Linked DNA regions of Macaca mulatta. The protein of the gene in region 4 interacts with the protein of the main gene of each other region in a biochemical or structural test. Links are inferred from orthologs where the notes say so. Each region holds a gene or a part of one and is shown on either strand. Other genes may lie near its edges.

Region 1 (5,845 bases), on a different chromosome or scaffold from region 4:
ATCATTGTCCTTGATAATTATCCCTTGATATGAACAGATATTATAATATATAATGAAAAAAGGCAGAAGCTATGACAATTTAATCTTATTTTTGGTTCATAAAAATAATTTTGTTAAAGGAAAAGATCTAGAAGAATTAGAAGTCAGAGTGAGGCCGGTGTGGGGGCTCACACCTATAATCCCAGCACTTCAGGAGGCTGAAGTGGGAGGATCATCAGAGCCCAGGAATTTGAGACCAGCTTGGGCAATACAGTGAGACCCCATCTCTTAAAAAAAATTTTTTTAACAATTAGCTGGGCTTGGTGGTATGCACCTGTGGTCCCAGCTCCTCAGGAGGCTGAGGTGGGAAGATTGCTTGAGCCTGGGAGGTCAAGGAGGCTGCAGTGAGCCACAGTTGCACCACTGCACTCCAGTCTAGGTGACACAATGAGATCCTGTCTCAAAAGAAAAAAAAAATCAAAGTGACCATTCTGATGGTAGTTAATTTTTTGAGTGAGAACTCAATCATTAACCAGTTTTCTTACCAGTTTCAGTTTTTGAATAGGCCAACTGGCATTTTTTCTTGTTCCATGGCCACAGCTGCAGATGCAGCTCCTGTTCTGGGAAATGTTTCCTGTTCTTCAACAAATTCTTATTGACTGTTATTTACCCTTGTCAAGTATTCAGAGATGAATAAAATACCAATTTTTCCCTTGAATGGATCATTGCGTTTGTTATTCCTGCTGAGAAAAACAACTCTACTGTTAGAAAGTTAAATTGTACATTTCATTTCTGTCATTTTACAGAATGAAATTTTGTAGCATTTTATCACCCTAAGAAATTATATTGAGTAAACATGTAAATTGACTCCAAAAAAGTTTAGGTAGATTTATTGAAGAGAGATTCATAGTCTGGCCTTAACTATGTTCCAGACTATTCTAATCTTATTTCCTCCTGTCCTCCAAAGATCATTTTCTACCATCTATCAAGTTGCTCTTTTGCCTTATTACTCTGGGATTGTGTCTCATATCTTTCAGGGGATTTCAAACACAGTGATCACGTCTTTCTACTGCATTTTTCTGTTGTTTCATCAACATACTGGGTTTTGTGGATTTCCTACAGTTAAATTTTAGTTATGCATTTGTTAGCATGGCACTAATTTCTGTAGCTTTCTGGGTGGCTCGTAACTCTTATTTTTGATAATAGAGTTTGACCTGCTTAATGCAGTCATTCCTACCAGAGAGGGAACAAACTTCTTGTTGTTGTTGTTCAGACGTAAAAGACTAATAGAAGAAAAGTGACAAATCTTGATAGGACTCAGTGGCTGTTTACTTGGTAGTCCTGTGTCTGTGTGCCTCTGCTTGTTGCCTCTCTGTGTTTATATAGAAAGAACCACATTTCAATAAAAAGGCTTGTGGATGTTTCAGGCCAGATGAAAAGTGGTTGCTTAACTATTATAAATTTGACAGTGCAAAGAGAGTTCTTTATTACTCCCAGGGGAACAGACAAAATTGTTTCAAGTAGGAAGAGTCTGCTCTGAAGCTTCTTGGTCATATTTGAAGATGCTTTTATTTGGATTTTTTGTTACTACATAATAAAGTATTGGTTTACTTACTTTCTCAAAATCAACCAACAAACGAGCTGTAGAGACTAGTCTTACACATTGTTTTTACTTGGATTTTCAAGGGTAATTATTTAAGTAGGTTTTTTTTTTCAGTTGATATTTTTATGGATATAAACAAATGAAAATGTGTGTGTGGTTTTTTTTTTTTTTAACAAGTGTTTTTAAATTTCCATCATATCGTGTACTTCATAGAGGTTCTGGGCCTTGCCTGGGTACTTTCTTTTATTGAGATTTATAATTCAGGCCTAGATTCTTACCCAAATTGAGAATTTTCTTTTTAATAATTGAATTCTCAAAATAAAACTGGAATGTGTGAAAGTAAATTCTCTCAGCACCAAAATTGTGAATTGATTGCATTTTATGAGGCATGGAAAGGACTTTTCCCTAATATTATAAAGTCATTTTGTCACTGGTAGAGGATTGTGACTGCAGGTTGTCCAGGTTCTTGGCATTTTGAAGAAAGAATTGGACAAAATGCCCAGCAAAGGAAAGAAAGATCGAAGCAACAGAAGAACAAAAGCAGAGATTTATTGAAAACGAAAGTACGCCCCACAGTGTGGAAGTGGGCCTGAGCAGCACCTGAAGGACCCGGATACAGAACCTTCTTGGGTCCAAGTACAGTACCCCCTAGAAGTTTCCCATTGGCCGCTTCATGCTCACCTCATGTAAATGAAGTGGAAGCTCACGATCAGTCTGGTTGCAGAAAGCAGCCAACCAGAGGCTGAAATGAAGTTACAAAGGTCACAGTGCTGTGCAACCATCTGATTGGTTGCAAAAAGCAACCAATTAAAGGCTAGGGAGAAGTTACAGTTATGCTTGTATGCAAAGGAAGACTCCGCCCACAGTCAGTCTGACTGGTTGTGGACAGCAACCATTCAGAGGCTGGAGCAGCCATTCAGAGGCTGGTTGTGGACAGCAACCATTCGGAGGCTGAAGTTACAAAGTTGCAAAGGAAGACTGGACTTGTAATCAGTCTGATTTTTTTCGGACACCCAATTTCCCATCTGCTGCACAGAAAACGTGGGGAGTTTGCAAAGGGAGCAGCCTCTGGTCCTTTTATTACTTAGGTGTGGAAAGTTAGGGTTGGTTTTCCTTTCAGTGTAGTTACAAGAAGTCAGCTTGAAAAACAGCCTTAGATTCCCTGCCTCCAGACCCTATTTTCCTGCCTTAGTATCAGGCTAGCTATTACAAGGATTAAGCAGTTCTTCCTCTCAGTTTCCCTTTGTGAATATTCTTTCATTAAATATAAAATAGCCTTTTGATATATGAATAGAAATTGTGCTAAATTTAAAAAATAATTCATATCACTAAACAGATGCTAAAAACTAGAAGAGTATTATAATACTTTTCTTCTACATCAGGAAGCATTCAGAGTTGTCTGAATTGAATGTAAAAGTCCTGGAAGCTCTGGAACTATATAACAAATTGGTGAATGAAGCACCAGTGTACTCAGTCTATTCAAAGCTCCACCCTCCAGCACATTACCCACCTGCATCATCCGGGGTTCCAATGCAGGTGAGCATGTTTTTTGAGAACATTTTCTAAATTATAAACAAGTTTTAAAGTAAAAGAAAGTGTTTTACAGCATAGTATTAAGATTTCTTTTGTATGTAAATAAAATTATAAAATTTATCTTTGATTGTTTCAGTAAATATTGACTGAACAATTAACATTCACCAGAACAACTTAGACAGATACTGACATTTCACAAATACATTATAGTTCAGTTTTAACATGGATGAAAAGACCATTAAGTATGTGAGGGTAGTTCTGGTTCTTCATATGCTTTTGTAAGTATAAAGCATAAATCTTTTATGTAAGTATAAATCCTTTTTGTAAATGTGGAGTATAAATCCTTTGATTTTGGATGGTACCTAGCATATCAGAAGTTCCCCAGGTACCAAGACTTTGCTGCTGCTCAACAAGATTTAACATTTCTTTACAAATTTCCATAAAGATTTATTTGACTCACATGATTATTAACAGGCACAATGAACTTCTAGAGTATGCTTTATACTTCCTTTACTTAGCTGCATGACTTAAATTGTTAAAAATTTGTGCATAGCAAAGATATGATACACATCTAGGAGGTACAGACTCCATAAGCCATCCATGAACATCCGTAAGCCATCTTTTTCCAGTACTTTTCACCTTTTTTGTGTGCTTGCCATATGAAGTGAATACTTTATATTTGTCAGTATCCCCATTCAGAAGCATTTTGAAATTTCAGCCAGTTAGCCAATTGAATTCAGAATGAGCTTGGATGAGCAAAATGCATGTTAATTTATGAACACTGGTATCTAAAGGTACATGTGAAGGAGACACCAAGGAGAAAGGGTAGAATGTGGGTGAATAATTTAGATGACACAACGTAATTGTTAAGTAAAAAAAGAATAGTCACTATGGTAACTGTCACGTCAGACAAGATACATTTATCAAATGTGCCATGCCTTGATCTTTTTGAAAATTAGGAGGGTAAGAAAGATTTCTGGCTGCAAAAGACATTTGGGAGTTACTCAGTTTGCTTCTGTTTTCAGAGTTGTTTGCTGCTGCTGTGAAAGTGGGACAAAAAGCAGTGTCTGCATCGTTGTATGATAAAACTATGTTGGCTTTTTTTTTTTTTTTTTTTTTTTTGAGACGGAGTCTCGCTCTGTCACCCAGGCTGGAGTGTGGTGGCCGGATCTCAGCTCACTGCAAGCTCCGCCTCCTGGGTTCACGCCATTCTCCTGCCTCAGCCTCCCAAGTAGCTGGGACTACAGGCGCCCGCCACCTCGCCCGGCTAGTTTTTTTTTTTTTTTTTTTTTTGTATTTTTTAGTAGAGACAGGGTTTCACTGTGTTAGCCAGGATGGTCTCGATCTCCTGACCTCGTGATCCACCCGTCTCGGCCTCCCAAAGTGCTGGGATTACAGGCTTGAGCCACCGCGCCTGGCCTATGTTGGCTTTTTTATGTGTCTGTAAAGGGTTATTTGCTATTCTGTGTCAGGTTTCGGTGTTTACTTGCATTCTGCTTACTGCATTTTGCCAAGCACAACTCATTTCTCTGAAAAGTTAACTTTCTGTTTGATTCCTCACATAATCTGTATCTACACTATTCACTCAAGCATTTGAAATATTCAAAAGTTTCTATTCTAATTTGACAAAAATACATCTCTACTAGAAGCAATTGGGATAACAAGTTAGTTGTATCTGTGTAGGCTGCTCAGGAACCCTAAACTGCAGAAGAAGCTGATTCTCACAGTCTCAGCCTATTGTCAGTAGATTGTTACATGTCTACTAAGGAGGTAATGTGATTGTACTTAATATAGCTTATTTGGGATTTCTAGCATTCTAAATTTTCAGATAAATGGTCTTTGCTTTAAAAAAATAGCTTAATTTAAAACTGGATTGATGATCATTATGGTATGATATGATATTAAATGTGTGCATTGTTTTGATGCTATATATAGTAGACAGGTGGTAGACCCTGTCCTTAAGGAGCTGTTGTCCTGAAAATAAGTAGGGCGCATATAAATGTCCAAAGAGACCTAAACCATTTTTGCTCTTTCCTGAGGATACATGTCTTTTACCAATAACTCTTCCTTACTTTTGTCCTGTTTGTCTGAAAGGTAAGAGATAAAGTAGACATTGCCAGGGAAGCCCTGGCATCCTTATACCGTTTCTTTTTCAGCTTGTTCTTTTAAGTTTCATTCTTAGGAAGGAGTTGGATGAGTCATCCTGGGATGAGGGTAAAGAAGGTTATCATTCTTATAGTGACTTTAAGTGATGGTGGGCTTCCCTTCAAGGGAGTGTACAGTTTTCTGTGGCTCTACAACAAGACATGTTTACTGAGTAATAGGCAACCTGGATAGATGGCAATCCACTACTTAAAAGTATACCACCTGTCTTTCTCCCAGCTCTCTGTAAAAATAAAAGAACAGCCAAACAAATCAAATTTCCATAGATATGGCACTGTGATTTGACAGCTCACCACTTTTAGTTCTAAGATGGATAGATTGGTAGAATCAGATTGCTTCCCAAAGACATATAGTTTCTTTCCTTTAAGTCTTTTAACATTTTAAATATATTATTAGGCACATGTTTGGGAGATTCGTGAATCAACTTTTTCTTTCTGATTAATAGACATATCCAGTTCAATCACATGGTGGAAACTATATGGGTCAGAGCATTCACCAAGTAACTGTTGCCCAAAGCTATAGCCTAGGACCCGATCAGATTGGTCCACTGAGATCTCTGCCTCCAAA
Region 2 (5,845 bases), on a different chromosome or scaffold from region 4:
GAGGTTATACTGTACTTGTCACACTGTAATGAACTGGTAAGAAAAACATATAATGTATAAATTCTGTAAAACTTCTTAATGAATTTGCATTTTAACAACAACCTCTACATAGACATATATGAAAAAAAAGTTAGGCCAGGCACGATGGCTCACGCCTGTAATCTCAGCACTTTGGGAAACTGAGGTGGGTGGATCACCTGAGGTCAGGAGTTCAAGATCAGCCTGGCCAACATGGTGAAACCCCGTTTCTACTAAAAATACACACACACACACACACACACACACACACAAATAGCTGGAAGTGGCGGCTGGCACCTGTAATCCCAGCTACTCGGGAGGCTGAAGCAGGAGACTCATCTGAACCTGGGAGGCGGAGGTTGCAATGATCCGAGATCGCACCATTGCACTCCAGCCTGGGCAACGCTGCTCTAAAAAGTTCAGTTTACTCAACTTCCATTAAGAAAAGGATTAGAAAACATTATTTATTGGCAGGCTGGAAAATACTTACTCATTTCTGGTTCAGCAGTGAGATCTGCTGTCACAAAATTAGATGGAAATAACCCTATGCCTTGATGGGTTTCACCTTTCCACCAGTTAGGATCACTATGACAAACAGAAAACAATGCTTTACCACAACATTTTTATTTCTATAAATCTTTATCTTTTGTAGTATTTAACTTACACTATTACAAAATTTGAATCTCACAATAACCCACTGAAAAGGCCAATGAATCTTCCTTTATTACAAAAGAAGAAGCCTCAGAAAAGGTAAGAAGCTATTAAACACAGGGTTGTTTATCCTTTTGACTGTGGATGCATGCTTTGCAGTTATGGACTCTCTCCCAAAAAAGAGGTACCCATATGAAAAAATTGTCAGCTTCAGGTGGTTCACAGGCTCCAGAGTAAGAAGTCTTTGTAATGAGATATAAAGACAGGCTCTCACTTTCAGTCTCCATTCCTAAATCATTGCTCTTTCCAGTACACATTAGCAAGGTTTTTCTTTTTATCTCCCAACAGAACAAATATGAAAGATGACGCTGTTCACAGTGTAAAACATTCACAAAGAGTACACTCCTAGGTAAACTCTAGTATATGGAAAGCTAGCAAGCACTTAATAAATGTTTTTGAAAGAACAGATGCAAGGTTTTGTGCAATTTCCAGCCAACCAGCTCAAATTTTACTTCATTTTCTTCCACTCAAAAAATCAAACAAACAAATAAAAAAAAAAAATGTTAAAATATGTCTGAATGTTTGTGTCTTCCCAAAATTCACAGGTTGAAATCCTAACCCCCAAAGCAATGGTATCACAAGGGGGGGCCTTTGGAAAATGATTAGGTCATGAACGGGATTAGCAACCTTATAAAAGAGACCCCAGAAAGCTCATTGCTCCTGCTGCCACGGGAGGACACAGCAAAATGACAGCCTTCTACAAACCAGAAAGTGGGCATTCCACATACAGTCAATCTGTCGGGTCCTTGACCATGGACTTATACTCCAGAACTGTGAGGAATAAATTCCTGTTGTTTTTAAACCAGTTAGTCCATGGTAGTTTGTTATGGCAGCCCAAATGGACTAAGGTAGTAAGAGAGATACTACAGGAAGAACTTTAAATCAATTTGAGCTGATTTTTTAAAAACACCTGTAAATTTCAATACTGCATTATCAGTAACAAGCATCAGTAACAATTCATTTTCAAGTAAAACATCACAAAGCTAGAGTAAAAAAACTGATGCACCGTATCACCTCCTGAATAAACGTATAATTCCATATAAAATAAAGTTGTTTCATATGGACATACTGTTCTGTGTATAAAAACTCAATAGATTATATGTTTCTTACAAATTCCATTAAGTACATATACATACTCAGTGTTTTTCCAGAACTGTACCTTTTTAAATAATGTAACAATCTATATTATTAGGTAGAACCAAAAATGAATAGATTAAACTACGCCTCCAAAACAAATTAAAAACTAAGAAATAAATAAGAAAAAAATTAAACAAAATAAGAATCCACTGAGTATAACACAAGCAAATCAGCCAACTGTCTGCCATACAGAGAAGCATCTGGGTCAATATTTATTATTATATTTGGTAACTGCGATCAACAGGAATAATATGAAACACCGAAGCCATACATACTTTCATACAAATTTTAAATGTAATATTAACATTACCTGTCATCAAGAACTGTAATAATTTCTCCAGCTTTAAAAGTAAGTTCATTATCTTCAGCAGCTTCAAAGTCATATATAGCACGAACTTTTCGGCCTTCATGTTGGTGGTTAGTTAAGAGGTTGGATGTGCTTGGATACAAAGTGGAAAGGGTGGTTGACTGCTGCCTTTGTTCCTTGAGAGACAACTCAATGGCTAGAAAACAATGAGTTTTTAAAAATCCAAAATGTTATTATATCCAACAATCTGAAGAAGTAGAAAAAGACATCAAGGTAAAAGGTATTCTTCCTTCAACAGCATAGTTAGAAACTAGAACATATCCTGATATATTGAACAAAAATCATGTTGTCAGTTTTATTCATTCATTCACAACTGAAAGTTTAAAAATAAATTAACAAAATTGGAACAGCGTGGTAATTCCTATTTTTACTGAACAAATACAATGTAAATTATTCTGGGTAATAAAAAATACAAACTCTTAGATCTCCTTTTCTTTTTCAGCTGCAGGTATTTTGCATTTTCCTTGACCTTTTAAATGTATTCCTATAGCTTAAGTTTTCAAAATAATCATCAAAATTGCCTGGAAAGTCAAGAGTATCAAGCTTCACTGCAGACTTACTAAATCAAAGCCTTAATCTTGGAGAATCAGGATTTTATTGCTCCAAGGGTAATTCTTAGCAGTCTAAAGACTCAATGTAACAAATCCACCAAAATAGATCTCAAATGTGTCTCCTCTATCTCCACCACTACTCCCCCAGTGCAGACCATCACCATATGTCATTCAGGCTCTGAAATGTAATCTCAGTGCATTGATTATCCTGCTTCCAACTCAACCCAGAGCCCTTTCTGCTCCTCCACTCTTGTTTTAGATTAATAAAAGAACCAATATGAAAACAAAACTTTAAAGCTACTAAAAGTCAATATAGAAAACTATATTTTAGGACCCTGAGGTAGAGAACAGTATTTTTTAAAAGCCACTAAAAAGTAAAAATCATAACAAAAGAGCAAACAGCTCTGGCCTTCTCAAAACTTAAAATTTCTACTTGATAAAATACACCATTATCAAAGTTAAGGTCAAAAACCAGGAGTAGATATCTACAATAATTAGATAACAAATTAATATTTCAAATAAAGACTTCTACATATCATTATTTTATTTAACAAAAGACAATTTACCCAAAAGAAAATCATCATGAGCAGTGAATATACAAAAAAGAACTCAGTCTCACTAGCAATCAAAAAAATTAAAATTAAAATAACAGGACATCATTTTAAACCTACCAGATTCACAAAAGTTAAACCCTTAAGATTACTAAGTGTTGTCAGAGATTAATCATAGCTTTCATACACTGCTAATGGAAAAGGAAATCATAGAACCATTTAGCAAAACCGAAGATGTACCAATGCCATGATCCAACAATACTGCTTTTAGTCACACATAACAGAGACAGTCACATACATGTGCACAGAGAATATGTACAAGAATACTCACTGCAGCTTAATTTTAGTAAAAATAATAATAGTAATAATCAGAAAGAATCCACACATCCATCAGTAGAAAGATAGAAAAATGTGGTACACTCATTAGTACACTGGAATATTACAGAAGCGTTAATGGATATGTCACATGAATAGATCTTAAACATAATGTTGCATGAGAAAAGCAAGTGGCAAATGGCACTTCAAGTGTACTACCTATGAAAAACAAACTTGTTAGACACAAAAAAGTACTTGATACTGTTTTTGGATACACAGTATAGTAAAAATCTGTCATAAAAACATAGACTGAAAGGACACATGTAACAGTAATTGCCTCTCAAGAGGAAAGGAAAGAATACTGAGGAGGGCAACAAAGTAGATTTCAGCTTTTGCTATAAAGTTCTATTTATTTTATCTTTTAAATATCTCAGAGAAAAAACAGAGGCTTATCTTCTTCCCACCATCAGGGACTTAAAAACGTACCTTTTGCTAAATCTTCTTCTTCTTTTTTATTAGCCACAGTACCAGGATCCTTGGCTGCAAGAGCTGGGCTTGCTTTTGCTTGTTCTGCAGCCTGACAAAAAAGAGGAACACAGTATTTGACGGTTGTTATCAAATTCTCCTCCTCTTACCTACCCCTAAGAATTTGTAAAACCTTTCTCATCAATCTAGCACAGATTTCTGAAAAAAGAAATCCAAACTGCAGCAGCTTCCACCTTAAAGGGAGAGGGAAAAGAATCCGAATTGGAGGACACAGAGAGCAACCGGACACTTACAGGAGGCAGCCTAGGCATACCCTCCCAGGTTTGTGTCAAGAGGTTCAACTAAAAGCATATGGTACACAAATCAGAGAAGACAGACTACAGAAGATTTCAATGTGTTTAAAAAAACTCCAAAACCAGAAAAGGGGCTGGGAGACAGAAAGAGATAATTACTTTAAACATAAATAGTTAAAAATTCTTTAATATCTATTAATAGTTATATTTATCATATCCTTTTGGATCAAGTGTCAGGATGTTACCTTCAGGAACTCATATACATATAAATATATATAACGATATAAATACTCAAAAATCCTATTTTGTAAACCAAATTACAAGTAGCTAATTCTGACAGTATATCACTGCCTCTATTAAATTGTGTAAATAAGAGAATGTACAACAAACAAACATATAAATCAATTCACACTTCTAGAATTATAAGTTTCTAAGCCTGTGGGCTCCATGGCCTCTCAGTTTTTGCAAAGCATTCAAGGCAAATCAGAATTTCGCCTGTCTTACCAACCTCATTTCCAATCATTCTACCAGTTACCAGAAACTGCCAGCAGTTCCTGAGCAGTCTATATACCAGTACTTTACAAGTCTGACACTCATTTGCTTCTCCTTACAACGTTCACCCACTATGGCTCCTTTTGCTGCATTCACTTTTTCCCTTTTGAGTTTGAACACATCAGTCAGTAATCAGCTAAAATATCACTCTCAATGAGGCATCCCTAAACCTGTTAATTACACATTCTCTTGTTTGTTCTTATGATAACACCTTTAAACAAGGTACTGTGATATGAGTGGTTAAGAATGTAAGTTATGGAGTCAGGCAGACATGAGTTCAAATCCCAGATCTACCACTTTCTAGCTGGATGACACTGGGCAAATTAGCCTTGGTGCCTCAAATTCCTCATCAATAAAATGAGTACAATAATAGCACCTACACCTCATGGGCACTTCACAGCCTATTTAGAATATTAAATTAACACATGTGATTCCAACATTAGATGAGATGGGCTCATTCAGGGTTTAAAACAAAAAGTATGTAACATTACCTCCAGGGCTTATAATGTATGTAGAGGTAATACACATGACAACTACAGCATAAATGGACCTCTACGGATGCAGAGTTTCTATATTTTACATCAAATATTAACTCAAAGTAGATCATGAAAAGTTATAAATGTATATTGTCATTCTCAGGGCAAACAATTTAAAAATGGAATTCTAAAAAACATTCAAATTGCCACATGTATAGCACTTAGAACAGTGACTGGAACATCGTAACAGGCAATAATCTCAGCTTCTGTTATAATTGTCTGATTACATGTCTGTCTCCACAACCAGACTGTATGTTCCCTGAGGGAATGTGCCTAAATATTACAAGCAATCAATAAATGTTTGTTGAGGGTATGAAAGGAGAAATAT
Region 3 (5,845 bases), on a different chromosome or scaffold from region 4:
CTCCCAAGTATCTGGGATTATAGATGCCCACCACCATACCTGGCTGATTTTTGTATTTTTATGTAGAGACGGGGTTTCACCATGTTGGCCAGGCTAGTCTTGACCTCACCTTAAGTGATCCGGTCACCTCAGCCTCCCCAAGTACTGAGATTACAGGCGTGAGCCACTGCACCCGGCCTCTTTTAAATTTTTACAGTAAATATTGCAGTAGCAAAATGGTTGTTTTTTGCTTTTTTTTTTCAATGAAGTCTTGCTCTGTTGTCCAGGCTGGAGTGCAGTGGCGCGATCTCGGCTCACTGCAAGCTCCGCCTCCTGGGTTCACGCCATTCTCCTGCCTCAGCCTCCCGAGTGGCTGGAACTACAGGCACCTGCCACCAAGCCTGGCTAATTTTTTAATATTTTCAGTAGAGATGGGGTTTCACCGTGTTAGCCTGGATGGTCTTGATCTCCTGATCTCGTGATCTGCCTGCCTTGACCTCCCAAAGTGCTGGGATTACAGACGTGAGCCACCATGCCCGGCCTCTTCTGCTTTTTGTGTGTTTTTTTTTTTTGGTTTGTCGAGGACCACTGCTTAAGCCAAGTAGATTTTTTAAGTGAAAGCCTTTCAGAGATTGAGGAAAGTAGATTAACTGATACATTAGAACTTTAACGTTGACTATTACAGGCATGCTTCACTGTGCTCGACTGATTTTTTTTTTTTTGCATTTTTAGTAGAGACGGGATTTCACCATATTGGTCAAGCTGGTCTCGAACCCCTGACCTCAGGTGATCCACCCACCTCAGCCTCCCAGAGTGCTGGGATTACAGGCGTGAGCCACTGCACTCAGCCAATCTAAAAATATTCTAAATGGCTAGTTGAGTTTGTCCAGGATAGGGGTCATAACTGAAGAAGCTTTGGCTATTTAACTGATACTGGTGGTTGCACCTTTCCTTGTCAGACTCCAGTCTAGCTGTCCCACGTGTAGCTCCAGTTTTAAGTCACTTCCATGCCTTTGCTCATGCTTTTGCTTAAACTTGAAGTGTGTTCTTTTTGCTTTCTCCTGATCCATTAAGGTTAGCTCAAATTTGACCTTCCCATTAATTGCTCCTCCTGGGTCCCTGAGATACTTCATTTAGAGTAGCACTTGAGTCTTCGTCGTCTTCTTTTTTTTTTTTTTTTTTGGTTCTTTTTGTCCAGGCTGGAGTGCAGTGGCACAATTTCAGCTCACTGCAACCTCCGCCTCCCGGGTTCAAGCAATTCTCCTGCCTCAGCCTCCTGAGTAGCTGGGACTGTAGACATACACCACCATACTTGGCTAATTTTTTGTGTTTTTAATAGGTTTTGCCATGGTGGCCCGGCTGGTCTTGAACTCCTGGCCTCAAGTGATCTGCCCGCGCGCATTGGCCACCCAAAGTGTGCTGATTACAGGCGTGAGCCACCACACCCAGCCTCCTCCTTCTTTTAAAATAGTTACACATTTGTCCATCCTCCATTTCTAAAGTTTTAAGGTGATTGTGGACTTAGATTATGTCTCTCTTTTTTTTTTTCTATTGGTATCTGGTATCATTTCTTGGGCATAGTACACAGTATTCAGTAGGTGTGGATTTTCTTTTAAAACTGTAAAAGGCAGGCCGGGCGCGGTGGCTCACGCCTGTAATCCCAGCACTTTGGGAGGCCGAGGCGGGCGGATCACAAGGTCAGGAGATCGAGACCACGGTGAAACCCCGTCTCTACTAAAAATACAAAAAATTAGCCGGGCACGGTGGCGGGCGCCTGTAGTCCCAGCTACTCAGGAGGCTGAGGCAGGAGAATGGCGTAAACCCAGGAGGCGGAGCTTGCAGTGAGCCGAGATCGCGCCACTGCACTCCAGCCTGGGCGACAGAGCGAGACTCCGTCTCAAAAAAAAAAAAAAAAAAAAAAAAAAAAAAAACTGTAAAAGGCTTACATGACCACATTTCCGTGGCTTCTGTGTTGCCTTTTATTTTCTTTGCTTCCCTGCCTCCATTAATGTGAAATTAAATTTTATTAAACTTTGAGGTATTGTCCAAGATTTTCTTTTTGCATTAATACTTTGTTAAATATCTCGGGGGGGGGGTGGTTTGTACCATTGGTCCCAGCCACTCAAGAGGCTAAGGTGGGAAGATTGCTTGAACGCAGGAGTTCAGGTCCAGCCTGGGCAACATAACGAATCTCTTAAAAAAAAAACTTGGGGCCGGGCGCGGTGGCTCAAGCCTGTAATCCCAGCACTTTGGGAGGCCGAGACCGGCGGATCACGAGGTCAGGAGATCGAGACCATCCTGGCTAACACAGTGAAACCCCGTCTCTACTAAAAAATACAAAAAACTAGCCGGGCGAGGCGGCGGGTGCCTGTAGTCCCAGCTACTCGGGAGTCTGAGGCAGGAGAATGGCGTGAACCCGGGAGGCGGAGCTTGCAGTGAGCTGAGATCCGGCCACTGCACTCCAGCCTGGGTGACAGCGCGAGACTCCGTCTCAAAAAAAAAAAAAAAAAACTTGGCCGGGCACGGCGGCTCACTCCTGTAATCCCAGCACTTTGGGAGGCCGCGCCTCTGCAGATCGCGCCACTGCACTCCAGCCTGGGCGACAGAGCAAGACTCCATCTCAAAAAAAGAAAAAATAGTAGTGCTCCACATACCTTTAAGTTAATTTTTATTGTATTTGCTTTTTCTTTGTATCATTGTCACTATTACACACTGGAATAACTGAAGAAGAGATTGATGTCTAGCATGTCTTTTCTAATTCTGATTTTGGATTTAATTTTTATAATACATTTATTTAAATACCTTTAGGTTGGCAAAAGCAGCTTTCGATGATGCAATTGCAGAACTGGATACGCTGAGTGAAGAAAGCTATAAGGACTCTACACTTATCATGCAGTTGTTACGTGATAATCTGACACTATGGACTTCAGACATGCAGGGTGACGGTAAGCAAACACTAGGAAGTAAAAGAGGCACCTCTTTCAGTTGCAGGATTTGTTTTTACTCTCTGTAGACATTCCTTGGCATATCTTTACATCAAGCTACAATTTAGACTCACTGCCTGCTCTCTATGAAATTTTAATTATTGCCTTTATAGGAAATGGTGCTAAAGTACCGAGTTCCATTTTGGGGAACTTAGTTTAAGTCTTCCTTTACACTGTTTCAAAGGTTGAGGAAAGGAAAAGTGGAAAGCAAGTAGTTTATTTTATCTTCGTCCAGATTCAATTTTAGGGGGCTGAAGTTAACTGTATTTAAATCCAGATGGTATCAATAGGTATTTATGAAGTTTTTCTCTTTGTTGAAATTTTTTATCTAAAAGGGAACTAATTTCCCATTTACCTCTGGGGTTCAGCAGAGAAATTGTATGTTGGCCCTTGGGTCTTTTTTTTTTTCTTTTCTTTTCTTTTTTTTTTTTTTTGAGATGGAGTCTCGCTGCAACACCCCGGCTGGAGTGCAGTAGCATAATCTCGGCTCACTGCAAGCTCTGCCTCCCAGGTTCAAGCGATTCTCCTGCCTCAGCCTTCCGGAGTAACTGGGGTTACAGGCACCCGGTATCATGTCCACCTAATTTTTGTATTTTTAGTAGAGACGGGATTTCGTCATGTTGGTCAGGCTGGTCTTGAACTCCTGACCACAGGTGTTCCGCCCGCTTCAGCCTCTCAAAGTGCTGGGATTACAGGCGTGAGCCACTGTGCCCGGCTGTTGTTACTTTTAAGAGGTTTTCATTGCAAACAATTTAGCTAGAGTATTTTACTAAACTTAATTGTGATGGTGAGTGTGTGTGAATGTTTACTTTAAATACAGAAGCCCAAATTTGTTAACGTTTGTTGATTTTAAAGGAAATTTAATTCTCTCTCTCTAGAGAATCATTATTATCCATGGTAGATTGTTGAACAGGGGTGGAGAAGAAGACAAATTAGTGTGATATGAGCATTACATTACAAGATAGTTTTACATTTGGTGGTGCTGGTGCTGGTAGGAGGTTGGAAACAAAGTCTGTTGTCAGTTTTAGCTGCGATTCCTTTAAGCATGTTTCTTAAGCTGGGCTGGGCGCGGAGGCTCAGGCCTGGAATCCCAGCACTTTGGGAGGCCGAGACCGGCGGATCACGAGGTCAGGAGATCGAGATCATCCTGGCCAACACAGTGAAACCCCTGTCTCTACTAAAAATAGAACAGGTGTGTTGGCGGGCGCCTGTAGTCAGTCCCAGCTACTCAGGAGGCTGAGGCTGGAGAATTGCTTAAACCCAGGAGGCGGAGGTTGCAATTAACTGAGATCGTGCCATTGCACTCCAGCCTGGGTGACAGAGGGGAGACTCCATCTCAAAAAAAAAAAAAAAAAAAAAAAAAAAAAAAAAAAAAAGTTTCTTAGACTGAAACATATGTCGCGTTGCTTGAGGCTATCTGTAGTGTCTGTTGGGGAAATCGACCTGCTGTATTGTCTTTGGAAGTGTTACACTTTTTGAAAACGCTTCTGAAAGTGGGCACGTATGTGTCTTTTCTCTGAAAGGATCAAATCAGATTTGTGACTTTTGGGTTATGGTACTAAAGTGAGACTCAGCTTTTAATGCTTCCTAGCTCTAGGAAATGTTTAGGATTTGACTAAATCGGGATTGGCATGAGATACTCATATACATAGGACTTACTTACACGCTTGCAATAGTGCCAGATGGAGCCACGGACCACTTCCCAGCGCAGCATTTCAGGCTGCTACTCCCAGTCCTTGGAACTCAGAAACAATTTACCAACTCTGAACAAGTGGCTTCCAGCTTGAAATCTATCCCACTCTGGTTGCGGTGGCTCATGTCTGTAATCCCAGGACTTGGGAGGCCAAGGTGGGATGATGCCTGAGCCTAGGAGTTCAAGACCAGCCTGGGCAACATAGTAAGACCCTGTCTTTAAAAAAATGAAAAGAAAAAAAAGGCCGGGCGCAGTGCTATGTGCCTGTAACCCCAGCTACTTGGGAGGCTGAGGCAGGAGCATTGCTTGAACACAGGAGGTGGAGGTTGCGGTGAGCTGAGATCACGCCACTGCACTCTGGCCTGGGAGACAGAGCGAGGCTTCATAGAGCAAGACTTTATCTCAAAAAAAAAAAAAAAAAAAACTCCAGTGAGGTTGGGGGATCTTGAGGCTGCAGTGAGCCTTGATTGCGCCACTGCATTCTAACTTGGATGACTGAATGAGGTGCCATCTCTTAAGGGAAAAAAATTGTTTTAACAACTATGAAGAAGAATGGCCAAACAGCTGTGGACTCCTAACAGTCATCCCCAGCTCAGATACTAGCATCTCTCTGCCTGTTGATGGAGGGAAAGCACGTGGAGAGTTTGGGAAGCGGGATTGACTTGAGGAAATGATACCCTCTCACCCCTGGGGATGGGTGTTTGAGAGTAAAAGTAATAAAAAGTAATAAAGGTGACTTGACTTGAATATGTGTGTGTGTATGTGTATTTTATTATTTATTTGTTTATTTTTATTTATTTATTTATTTTTGAGACGGAATTTTGCTTTTGTTGCCTAGGCCAGAGTGCAGTGGTGCTATCTCAGCTCACTGCATCCTCTGCCTCCCAGGTTCAAGTGATTCTTCTGCCTCATCCTCCCTAGTAGCTGGGACTGCAGGTGTCCGCCACCACGCCTAGCTAATTTTTTGTATTTTTAATAGAGACAGGGTTTTACTATGTTATGTTGGCCAGGCTGGTCTCAAACTCCTGACCTCGTGATCTACCCATCTCGGCCTCCCAAAGCGCTGGGATTACAGGTGTGAGCCAGCGCGCCCGGCTCATTTTTTGGTTTGTTTTGGTTTGTTTTGTGATGCGGAGTCTCCCTGTGAGCCACCGTGCCTGGCCATTTTCATTATTATTTTTTTTTTAAA
Region 4 (6,314 bases):
GAGGATCACTTGAGCCCAGGAAGCAGAGGTTACAGTGAGCCAAGATCATGCCATTGCACTTCAGCCTGGGTGACAGAGCAAGACCTTGTCTCAATTTAAAAAAAAAAACAAAGGGCTACATGCGATGGCTCACGGCTATAATCCCAGAACTTTGGGAGGCTGATCACCTGAGGTGGGCAGATCACCTGAGGTCAGGAATTCAAGACCAGCCTGGCCAACATGGCAAAACCCTATCTCTACTAAAATACAAAAATTAGCCGGGCGTGGTGGTGGGTGCCTATGGTCCCAGCTACTTGGGATGCTGAAGCAGAATTGCTTGAACCCACGAGGCGGACACTGCAGTGAGCCGAGAACACATCACTGCACTCCAGCTTGGGAGACAGAGCAAGACTCCGTCTCCAAAAAAAAAAAAAAAAAAAAAAAAAAAAAAAAAAAAAAATTAGTATGGCTATAAATGTAGAATTCTAAATAACTTTAATATAATATGTCATCATTCAGTACTAGTAAATTCTATATTATGGAACTGTTGCAGGCCTTACTTTCCATTTATTAATCATATGACTTTCAACAAATTCCATAAATCACTCCCAACATGACCACCACTGCTCTTCAGTTTACTTTCATCTGCAAAATGAAACAGGAATGATTTGTCTGCTTCTATAGGGTGACCATAGGTATCAAGTGAAAAAATATACAAAAACATGTTTTGAAAACTGTAACATGCCGGCCGGGCGCGGTGGCTCAAGCCTGTAATCCCAGCACTTTGGGAGGCCGAGGTGGGTGGATCACGAGGTCAGGAGATCGAGACCATCCTGGCTAACATGATGAAACCCCGTCTCTACTAAAAATACAAAAAACTAGCCGGGCGTGGTGGTGGGCACCTGTAGTCCCAGCTACTTGGAGGCTGAGGCGGGAGAATGGCATGAACCCGGGAGGTGGAGCTTGCAGTGAGCCGATATCGTGCCACTGCACTCCAGCCTGGGCGACAGAGCGAGACTCCGTCTCAAAAAAAAAAAAAAAAAAAAAAAGAGAACTGTAACATGCCATTAAAACATAATGCATTATGGTTAAAGAAATTGGAAATGGGTTGGGCGCAGTGGCTCACGCCTGTAGTCCCAGCACTTTGGGAGGCTGAGGCGGGTGGATCACAAGGTCAAGAGATCGAGACCATCCTGGCCAACATGGTGAAACTCCATCTCTACTAAATACAAAAATTAGCTGGGCGTGGCGACATGCTACTTGGGAGGCTGAGGCAAGAGAATGGCATAAACCCAGGAGGCAGAGGTTGCAAAAAGCCGAGATCGTACCGCTGCACTCCAGCCTGGCGACAGAGCAAGACTCCATCTCAAAAAAAAAAAAAAAAAGAAAAGAAATTGGAAATTGGAAGCATACCTTATTATTCATCTGCTATATAAATGCAAACAAGAGTCCAATACAACTTTGTCATCAAAATTACAGTAGACAAAGCATGGCCACAAATTCTTTGACATTTTTCCCTTCAAAAGTGAGGGTTGGATACTGGTCTGACTGCTCTAACCAACAGAGTATGTTGGAAATAATGTTGTGCCTATTTCTGGGTTCAGGCTTTTTGGGAGACACGCAGCTTCTATTTCCTGTCTCCTCAAACATGTATTCTTGGAACCTAACCACCATACTGTTCACGTCAGAAGTTCAAGTCACGTGAAGAGGCTATGTGTGGGCATTCCAGTTGACATTTCCAGCTGAACTCCTAGCCAACATCAACTGCCTTCACATGAATTAGCCATTTTGGATGTCCAGACCAGCTGAGCTCTCGGATGACTCCAAACTCAGCTGCTTATCTGAATACAAACGCATTAAAGTCTAGGTGAGAACCACTTAGCTAAGTACAGGCAGGCCAGAGAAACAGGAGAGATATAAATTATAGTTTTAAGCCACTGTGTTTTGGAGTCATTTGTTACGCAGCAATAGGTAACTGGGACAACAACAAGGTATTTTTTAAATGTTTCCTTAATTATTTCTAATTTTATTAGCAACACATCCTTGAAGACTTTTTTTCCTTTCACTTCCGTAAATATGAGCGCATTTTCATGTAGAAAAGTTCATAATAAAGTATAATGCTAGACTTATGAAAAAAATTTAATGTACTGGTTTTATTTTCCAACTGTCTTACTCAAAAGTCATTTTGATTATTTTCCATTATGTCCACGCTTTTTATTTTAATTTTTTGAGATGCAGTTTTGCTCTTGTCACCCAGGCTGGAGTGCAATGGTGCAATCTCAGCTCACTGCAACCTCTGCCTCCCCGGTTCAAGCGATTCTCCTGCCTCAGCCCCTGGAGTAGCTGGGATTACAGGCGTGTGCCACCATGCCCAGCTAATTTTGTTTTTTAGTAGAGACCAGGTTTCGCCATGTTGGCCAGGCTGGTCTCGAACTCCTGACCTCAGGTGATCCACTCTCCTCGGCCTCGGAAAGTGCTGGCATTACAGACGTGAGCCACTGCGCCCAGCCACGTCCACATTAATAAACAAATGCCCATAATGATTAATAAAGTCCAAGTAAATATATTAAAAAATGAAATGCTAAAAAAGTCACCTTTAAAACATTTTTGTTAGTTTTTCTTATACATTGTTTTCTAAAAAAAATACATGCCTATGTGCAAAATTTCATTAATGACAGGTGTGTATATATATATATTTTTACTACTACAGGGTCTTCACTATCTAATATTAAAGATGCATCCAATGTGTCACAAGAAAAGGAATACCTATTTCAAGGCAGCCATATCAACATGATAAAGACATAACACAACCGATATCACCTTCCAGATATGCTTAATGGTCCAGGGATATGTTGTAAGGAGAAACTACCCAAATCTATCATGAATGACATTCACCAACGAATCTTAAACAGAATCGGCTGAAATGCAAAATCTGCTTACATGGCAAAGCCGCAGCAGAGCAAGCCTAAAACAGGAACACTTCCTTAACAAATAACCACTTGGCATTTTTAATGGCTGCAGCAAGATATTTACAAAACTAAGGATGCTTCGCAGATTCAGAAAAGGTAATATCCTTTAGATACAAATCCCTTTCATCTGAAACCCTCAGGTCTCTTAAATTCTAAATTCCTTAGGCTCTGCAACACCTCCGTGTCAGGTAAATATTTTGTTAGTGATTAAGTGACTTGTTCAAGGTCACAGAATGAACTGGAGGCAAGAAATAAACCCAGGAGGGTGGTCTGCAGCTTTCTATATAAATGCACATCGCTGCAAGTAAGGATTCCGATAATTTCCAAGGTGGAGTGGCGGCGAAATGAACTTGTCCCACAACTCTAGGTTGGAAGGCACTTTTTAGGGGGGCGGGGAAAAGCTTCTATTTGAGGCAGTCATAGTTTTAACTCTGATAAGCTTATAGGGTCTTTAAACTCCTACTTCACTAAAATGAAGTGTGACTAGGGAAGAGGAGAAACTGGGAAACAGTTTTAGGAGCTGTAGTAAGGCCTGGGATTGTAGGCAGATTGCAGAGAGTAAAATAAAAAAAATAAAAAAAAAACAAAAACAAAAAACCGGAAGCAAGAGGAAAGAGGTCAAAGTCGGGTATAAGTGTCCAAGAGAACGGAAGAATGGTCAAAGCCACCTTTTAAAACCGAAAAACCGCACGAAACTCGCTTGGCAATCCTAGATGGGTGGCGTAAAAGACTCAAGGTTGGGCCCTTCCTCTCCACAAGCCGGTTCTACCTTTCGGAGTTGTCCCACTCCTCTCCGCGGACAGGGCTTGTCTCCCGGGTGACCAGCAGCTGGTGGAAGGAGAGGGGGTTCACAGCGGACGACTTCCCAGAGGACAGGTGCCAGGGCCCAAGACCCGCACTCACCGTGACGCCCGGCGCGCTTCACTAACGCCAGCCTTCTCGCCAAACGCCCATCTCCCAAGAACTCGAGGGAGAATTAGCCTTGGCTATCAGGACGGAAGCCAGCCCAGCTCATCCCCTTTTCCCGATTTGCATTGCGAGGCGACGCGTCGCGTCTCCAGACGTCACGGTAGGGGCTGGGCTTCGCGTGCGCTCCTTGACTTCTCTCTTCCACCGCCCTCCCCCTTTCGGTGAGGGCCGAGCGGCGGGGCGAGGGAGGGTCGAGGGAGGGTCGAGGAGGACGTTATGGGTGGGCGGCGGCGGCAAGGGCGGGATTTCTCTGAGCCGGATCAACACAGTCGGCCGGTTCTGTACCCCCCGCACTGCACCCTGCATTTCCGGGTTGCAACCGGGCGGTAGCCAAGCGGCCCAGGTTCGCTTCGCATCCTGGGCCTTGTGGAAGAAGCGAGGTTGCTCTTGCATCCCTTTACTACGTTATTTTCCTCCTCAGATTGGAAATTAGAAAAAACTTAAAAGGGGATTTAACGCCCCTCTATTTCTGTCTTAACATTCTCTGAAGCCAAGCCTTTCTTTGGTCAAAGAAAAACAGGTATTATCCTAAAACATATTTTATGTACAATTTTTAACGTCATTTAAAAGGCCCCGTCGAGGCCGGGCACGGTGGCTCACGCCTGTAATCCCAGCACTTCGGGAGGCCGAGGCGGGCAAATCATGAGGTTAGGAGTTCGAGACCAGCCTGGCCAATATGGTGAACCCCCCCCACCCCCCATCTCTATTAAGAATACAAAAAAATTAGCTTGGCGTGGTGGCGCGCGCCTGTAATTCCAGCTACTCCAGTGGCTGAGGCAGGAGAACTGCTTAAACCCGGGGAGGGGAGGTTGCAGTGAGCCGAGATCGCGCTGCTGCACTCCAGCCTGGGCAGCAGAGCAAGACTCCGTCTGGTTGGGGGAAGGCCGGTCTAACAGAAACGAAATGAGAGGTCTGAACTTTCTCGCGAGCTGATCTTTGTACTCTCTTAGAGAAAGGTGATTGGATGCTCCGGTTATCTGTAAACATAAAATTGATTTGGGTGGAGCTTTAGGCAGTAGTCACTAAGGCCTCAGGAACACTCCGGGTGTCTTAGGGATGGGAAATCTGGCAGCAAGATCTAGTAGACGTAGGCCGGGCGCAGTGGCTCAAGCCTGTAATCCCAGCACTTTGGGAGGCCGAGACGGGCGGATCACGAGGTCAGGAGATCGAGACCATCCTGGCTAACACAATGAAACCCCGTCTCCACTAAAAATACAAAAAAATTAGCCAAAAAATTAGCCGGGCGTGGTGGCGGCGCCTGTAGTCCCAGCTACTCGGGAGGCTGAGGCAGGAGAATGGCGGGAACCCGGGAGGCGGAGCTTGCAGTGAGCCGAGATCGCGCCACTGCACTCCAGCCTGGGCGACAGAGCGAGACTTCGCCTCAAAAAAAAAAAAAAAAAAAAAAAAAAAAGATCTAGTAGACGCTTTTAAGTGAAAGTGTGTGCCACATTGTACAGTGTAAACTGCTCGGGTGATGGGTGCACCAAAATCTCAGAAATGACCACTAAAAAACTTTTCCATGCAACCTGTTACCCCAAAACTACTGAAATGAATTTTTTTTTTAAAGGATAAAATAAAGTGTGTTCAATGAATTTGTAATGAAGGCCAGTTTCAGTGGCCCAGGCCTGTAATCCCAGCACTTTGGGAGGCTGAGGCAGGAGGATCCCTTGATCCCAAGAGACAGAGACCAGCTTGAGCAACAAAGGGAGACCCCCATCTCTACAAAAAAAAATTTTAAAATTAGGCTGAGTGCAGTGGCTCATGCCTGTAATCCCAGCACTTTGGGAGGCCGAGGTGGGCAGATCACTTGAGGTCAGGAGTTTGAGACCAGCTTGGCCAAAATGGTGAAACCTCGTCTCTACTAAAAATACAAACATTAGCTGGGCGTGGTGGCACGCACCTGTAATCCCAGCTACTCAGGAGGCTGAGGCAGGTGAATTGACTGAACCAGGAAGGTGTAGGTTAGATCATGCCACTGCACTCCAGCCTGGGCAACAGAGCGAGACTCCTCCAAAAAACAAAAAAAAAAATCTAAGTTACAAATAGCATTTCCGTTTTCCATAGAATCTAAAACTCCCCAAAATTTCTGTGAACTACAGCAGTATTTTCTCCACTTGGTAAGAGACATAAGGACAGCTTTACTACCCTTCTTTATCCAAACTAAGTTAAGAACAGCCCAGGTTTCCTGATTCTCACTCCCAAGTAAAACTAAATAGGTTTTATGTATGTTGCAGCTGTTGCACCCTTTTCCTCTTTGAAATAAAACTTTTCTATTTGTTTGGGGAAAGAAAACATGACTGAAAGTCCAAAGTGTTAGCTTAGAGCTCAAAACACTAGCTGCTGTTTCAAGGTCCAGTCTCCATGTGGACGGCTCATGGCCTGTTTAAATTGTTGCCA

Evidence for each region.
Region 1: the proteins of USP8 (region 4) and STAM2 form a complex in vitro, tested with the Homo sapiens proteins (3 studies listed by BioGRID, with this or other methods). The link is inferred for Macaca mulatta from reciprocal best matches to the Homo sapiens genes USP8 and STAM2.
Region 2: the proteins of USP8 (region 4) and STAM form a complex in vitro, tested with the Homo sapiens proteins (2 studies listed by BioGRID). The link is inferred for Macaca mulatta from reciprocal best matches to the Homo sapiens genes USP8 and STAM.
Region 3: the proteins of USP8 (region 4) and YWHAE form a complex in vitro, tested with the Homo sapiens proteins (2 studies listed by BioGRID). The link is inferred for Macaca mulatta from reciprocal best matches to the Homo sapiens genes USP8 and YWHAE.

Annotation. Positions count from the first base shown.
Region 1 is NC_133417.1:57,055,299-57,061,143, reverse strand, and holds part of STAM2 (signal transducing adapter molecule 2), read left to right. Parts: intron 1-2,446; exon of another isoform or gene 2,447-2,498; intron 2,499-2,964; coding exon 2,965-3,118; intron 3,119-5,723; coding exon 5,724-5,845.
Region 2 is NC_133414.1:19,267,230-19,273,074, reverse strand, and holds part of STAM (signal transducing adapter molecule 1), read right to left. Parts: intron 4,228-5,845; coding exon 4,137-4,227; intron 2,370-4,136; coding exon 2,177-2,369; intron 604-2,176; coding exon 509-603; intron 1-508. UniProt on the Homo sapiens protein: Involved in intracellular signal transduction mediated by cytokines and growth factors. Upon IL-2 and GM-CSL stimulation, it plays a role in signaling leading to DNA synthesis and MYC induction. May also play a role in T-cell development.
Region 3 is NC_133421.1:2,894,214-2,900,058, reverse strand, and holds part of YWHAE (14-3-3 protein epsilon), read left to right. Parts: intron 1-2,787; coding exon 2,788-2,924; intron 2,925-5,845. UniProt on the Homo sapiens protein: Adapter protein implicated in the regulation of a large spectrum of both general and specialized signaling pathways. Binds to a large number of partners, usually by recognition of a phosphoserine or phosphothreonine motif.
Region 4 is NC_133412.1:27,748,857-27,755,170, reverse strand, and holds the start of USP8 (ubiquitin carboxyl-terminal hydrolase 8), read right to left. Parts: upstream 3,901-6,314; 5' UTR 3,852-3,900; exon of another isoform or gene 3,718-3,851; intron 1-3,717. UniProt on the Homo sapiens protein: Hydrolase that can remove conjugated ubiquitin from proteins and therefore plays an important regulatory role at the level of protein turnover by preventing degradation. Converts both 'Lys-48' an 'Lys-63'-linked ubiquitin chains.